Linked DNA regions of Kluyveromyces lactis. The protein of the gene in region 1 purifies or fractionates together with the protein of each later gene. This does not show direct contact. Links are inferred from orthologs where the notes say so. Each region holds a gene or a part of one and is shown in the gene's direction. Other genes may lie near its edges.

Region 1 (2,430 bases):
CTAGGAAATGGAGTGAATAGCGCAGTTTTGTGCTTTGTGCGGTAGACGGAATAAACTGTATAGGCAACCAGTAAAAGGATCTACGAGTGAACTAGTAAGTTACAAAGTGGAATTGATTGGCCCATTATAAAGGCTGTGCAGGAGTCCGAACATCTCAGAAAACCATTTACAAAATGAGCTGCCTACCTACATGGTTCTTTCTTTTTATTCACACAAGTTGCACCAATCGATGTGCTTGTTTCGAGTGAGCAAGTAGCTGATTTTCATTTTCTTTTTTTTTTTTTGGCCTTAGGGAAAACTTACTAGGAACATGAAAAGGTAGTTGTTATAATGGATTGTAGTGGGTAGGTAGGTTGAGGCATTTCTGGTACATTCCGTATATTCGAGTGTGCTCGCTGTACCCTCTGCAGGTGTACTGGCTCCCAATATTATTCTTTTTTTTCGTTCAAATTGTGAGAAACAGAGAGAGAGAGAGAAAACGAAACGGCATCCTGTAATTACCCGAAGCAATATTGGGTCATATACCTGCTAAAACCCGGTCAATATTGACGTACTTTCTTTTCGGAATAACAAGTATGCAGCTGTGACACGCCGTGATTGCAACATTGTCTGGAATTCCTATGTTATTTCCCATTTTATTATTCGTTGAAACAATTGTGTTGTCTGTTTCCTAAGTGATGCGAGTTACCACAAGGCTCTCGAGTATTCACATAAACCAATGCAGGGGGTGGAACATCTCGCGTATAAATCCTATTTAGGAACTTCCCCATTAGGAAATGGAGGAACGGTCTTGAAGTTTTCTGTTTACGGCGAGTTTTCTACGCTTACCAGGTGACTTGAAAATATATGTTCCTGGGACTGCTCACCCGGACATTTTTGTTTTAGTTTTTTTTCCAATTTTTTCTGCATTGCCATTTTGGGTACTTATCTCATTGAAAATGTTCATTTATCTGAAGCATTAACCCATACACCACATGTGTTGGTGAGTAAATACTGTCTTTCAGATGATTTTTTCATTTTCACCATACCAATCGCAGCGATTCGGACGGTTTGACGAATATTGTTCTCATCATCGCTTTACAATCTGGTTCATTATGAACATAAGTGCCATTGGACATACAAGATACTTACTTTAGTTAGTTTTATTATCACCTATAATTTCGAGCTCCCCGACGAACAAATAAAGTAAAAATGGTTGCCATTATCTCCAAGAAGAGAAAGCTTGTCGCTGACGGTGTTTTCTACGCCGAATTGAACGAATTCTTCACCAGAGAATTGGCTGAAGAAGGTTACTCTGGTGTCGAAGTCAGAGTTACTCCAACCAAGACCGAAATTATCATCAGAGCTACTAAGGTTCAAGATGTTGTTGGTGAAAATGGTAGAAGAATCAACGAATTGACCTTGTTGATTGAAAAGAGATTCAAGTACAAGCGTGGTACCATTGCTTTATACGCTGAAAGAGTCCATGACCGTGGTTTGTCCGCTGTTGCTCAAGCTGAATCCATGAAGTTCAAATTGTTGAACGGTTTGGCCATCAGAAGAGCTGCTTACGGTGTTGTCAGATACGTTATGGAATCTGGTGCCAAGGGTTGTGAAGTTGTCATCTCCGGTAAGTTGAGAGCTGCTAGAGCCAAGTCCATGAAGTTCGCTGACGGTTTCTTGATCCACTCCGGTCAACCAGTCAACGACTTCATTGAAACCGCTACCAGACACGTTTTGTTGAGACAAGGTGTTTTGGGTATTAAGGTTAAGATCATGAAGGACCCATCTAGAAACACCTCTGGTCCAAAGGCTTTGCCAGATGCTGTTACCATCATCGAACCAAAGGAAGAAGAACCAGTTTTGGAACCTTCTGTCAAGGATTACAGACCAACTGAACCAGTTGAAGCTGCTGAATCTGCTTAAATCAATTGATATCTGTTTGATTCTATATTATTAATTAGTCTATTAAATACCGTTCTTATATGTATAAATATTAAGAAACTCATCAATTCTTTTAAAAATAAGTAATCTATGCCCAGATGACATCGATTAAAACGTCCTGCTTTTATCAATGGATTTTTAAAATGATTTATCGATAGCGCCTTCCGATAATGCCTTTCCGCCTTTCAGTTCCTTTATCTTTCATACTAATCAAAAAAATTCGGTGGGCAAAAATCATGTAAATTATTAAAAAAAAAGAGAATATATAGTGCGTACTGAAAAAACCAATGGCTCAATTATAGATGAATTGTTAACCATTTAATACCACACGTAGGGTCTATACGTTCCATTTTTAAGAGAACGTAGGTATCGCTCACTAAACACATTGACTGAAAGTAAATATGGGCCTAACTTATAAGGATTTTTGTGCTGTAGGTACAGCATTGATCATTGGATCAACTACTTTTTTGATGGGGATCTTCTTTTCTAATCAACCATATGACTATA
Region 2 (2,480 bases), on another chromosome or scaffold:
TTTCATATGAGGGGGTGGGACAATCTCATCTCTTAAACCAGCAAGAAACAAGAAAGGTAAAGTATCATCTTGTATGTTGACAATTTCCTGTTCAGAATCCCAGACTTCATGACACATGAATGCCACATTCTTCAGCATTGGGAAAACGTATGGGATAACTTTGCGAATGGACAGGAAAGTATTTTCTAGGATAATGGCATCGCAGATATCGGTAAATTTTCTAGCAAGATAAATGGCATTAGCGCCACCAAGGGACCTCCCATAAAGTATTAGCTTCCTTGATTTATGAAATTCACTGTTTGTCAAATGGTCCATGACGGTATCTGCGTCTATCTTCAATCCTCTCTCCGATGGGAACCCTGTTGATAACCCATATCCACGATAGGAATACAAAAAAATGGACAAATTAAACTCATTATAGAGAAACCTAGCAACGGGCAGGAAATATCCTATATTCCCCGCATTGGGGCAAAGAACAAGCATGGTTGCAGTCGAATTTTCATTCCTTATATCAAATGCTTTCAATAGAACACCATCCGAAGTCGTTAAAGTGAGATCTTCATAAGGCAAACCGTATTGATCTGGCGTATCTACATGGTCTCTAGCACCTTGTGCCCAAGATGGGTATATAAGCTTGTTTTGGTACAAATATAGAGCGCCCAGTGAAGCAGAAACAATGACAGCTGCGCTTCCGAGTACCATTTTCCCAATTTTGTATAAATGCATACTAGAAGGAAAATGTCGCTTTGGCAAAAAGAAATATGTTACGACAAACTATCACCTTGATCAATAAACTTTCTATTCGATGGATATAGTGACAGCAGCTACGTTAATGAGGTGCTTGTCATAATTAAACTCCCTTTAATTTACATAATACCGATATCCTGCTAAAACAAGCCAGCTACGGTTTGTATTTCAATTCGCATGCTTCGAGAGCATGAAAAACTCCAGAAAACTCAATATTACCCGTCCTTTGAATATAATCACGTGTATTGACAACTGATTCATGTTTTACCCGGACAAGTCGTAACGTCATTACCCTCTCTTAGAAGAAAGAAAAAAAAAAATTTGTAGCAGTGACAGCATAGTACAGGCAGCAGCTGCGAAGGTTTTCAATTTTGTTAACTATGGGAAGTTGGCAAATGGAAGAAAAAATGAAGTTGGATTAACGAATGTGATATCAAAGATTGGATTGACTCTCTGCGCATGTTTAAGATTTTTCGAGTGTTTTTTACTCGTAAATGTATCTGTATAAGACCAGAGGTTACCTGATCAATTTTGAACCTGAAAGACATCGATCTTACGACCAAAGAAGAATATCATGTCCGTTGAAGAAGTTACTCAAAAGACCCAGGATTTAACTGTGGACGAAGCCAAGCCAGCTACTGTTTTATCTGATCCTAAGGAATTTCAATTGAAGCATCCTTTGAGTAGCAAATGGACTTTATGGTATACTAAGCCCCCTGTGGATAGTTCAGAATCGTGGTCTGATTTATTGCGTCCAGTGACCAGTTTGGATACTGTCGAAGAGTTCTGGGCTATTCAAAATGGTATTCCAAAGCCATTCGATTTGCCAATCAAATCTGATTACCATTTGTTCAGAAACGATATCAGACCTGAATGGGAAGATGAAGCCAACTCTGAAGGTGGTAAGTTGTCGTACCAATTCAAGAACAAAAGACATAACATCGATGATTTGTGGTTGAGAACTCTATTGGCCGTTATTGGTGAAACCATCGACGAAGAAGAATCAGAAATCAACGGTTGCGTCTTGAATGTCAGAAAGGCTGTTTTCAAGATTGCTTTGTGGACTAGAACTACCAACTTGAACGCTTTGACTAACATTGCTACCAAGTTTAAGCAAGTTCTACAACTTGGTGAAGGTGAAAAGTTGGAGTTCTACAATCACAGAACTTCTAACTCAGGTCACGCTCCTCCAACCGCTCTATTGTAAATTAGCACATCCCTCCTCATTTCAACACTCAATAAATTAAATCAACATTTACCAAACACTGTCGATGCAAGGGATTATGAGTATAGTTAGAAATCTGTTTTGGACAGGCCTCATCTGATCGCTGTGAATCATCTCAATTTACCTTGACCACATACCCAAAGGGAAAAAAAGCGTATAAAGGGAATCTTTATGGTGCATCACAATCTCGGTTTGTGACAGCACACTTTTGGTATTTTAAAATGGTTGGATTTCACTCTTTCGACATCCATTTCGTGTCCTGCTAATCATAATTCCTTCGACTATTATTCGTAAACTCTTTTTTAAATGATATGTATAAATAATTAACGTGTCTGTTTATTCTTTATTTAAAGTCCTCTCCTGTGTAATTATCAGTGGATTAGTATCTCCACATTTCATTCTGTCAGTTTAGTTTATGAATCTAACGAAAAGAGATATATCCCAGAAATCATCATCTATTATTTCTTGCAAATAGAACCCGAAAATGACAACCAGGTATAATAATATT

The links. Proteins that work in one complex are often made in the same cells at the same time.
Region 2: the proteins of RPS3 (region 1) and CDC33 purify together in Saccharomyces cerevisiae (affinity purification with western blotting; 3 studies listed by BioGRID, with this or other methods). This does not show direct contact. The link is inferred for Kluyveromyces lactis from reciprocal best matches to the Saccharomyces cerevisiae genes RPS3 and CDC33.

What each region holds. Positions count from the first base shown.
Region 1 is NC_006040.1:705,100-707,529, reverse strand, and holds RPS3 (40S ribosomal protein uS3), read left to right. Parts: upstream 1-1,191; coding exon 1,192-1,905; downstream 1,906-2,430. Other genes in the region: SHR3 (Shr3p), read left to right, coding at 2,325-2,430. UniProt on the Saccharomyces cerevisiae protein: Component of the ribosome, a large ribonucleoprotein complex responsible for the synthesis of proteins in the cell.
Region 2 is NC_006041.1:1,876,357-1,878,836, forward strand, and holds CDC33 (translation initiation factor eIF4E), read left to right. Parts: upstream 1-1,321; coding exon 1,322-1,954; downstream 1,955-2,480. Other genes in the region: KLLA0_E20989g (uncharacterized protein), read right to left, coding at 1-726; VNX1 (calcium/hydrogen antiporter), read right to left, coding at 2,381-2,480. UniProt on the Saccharomyces cerevisiae protein: Recognizes and binds the 7-methylguanosine (m7G)-containing mRNA cap during an early step in the initiation of protein synthesis and facilitates ribosome binding by inducing the unwinding of the mRNAs secondary structures.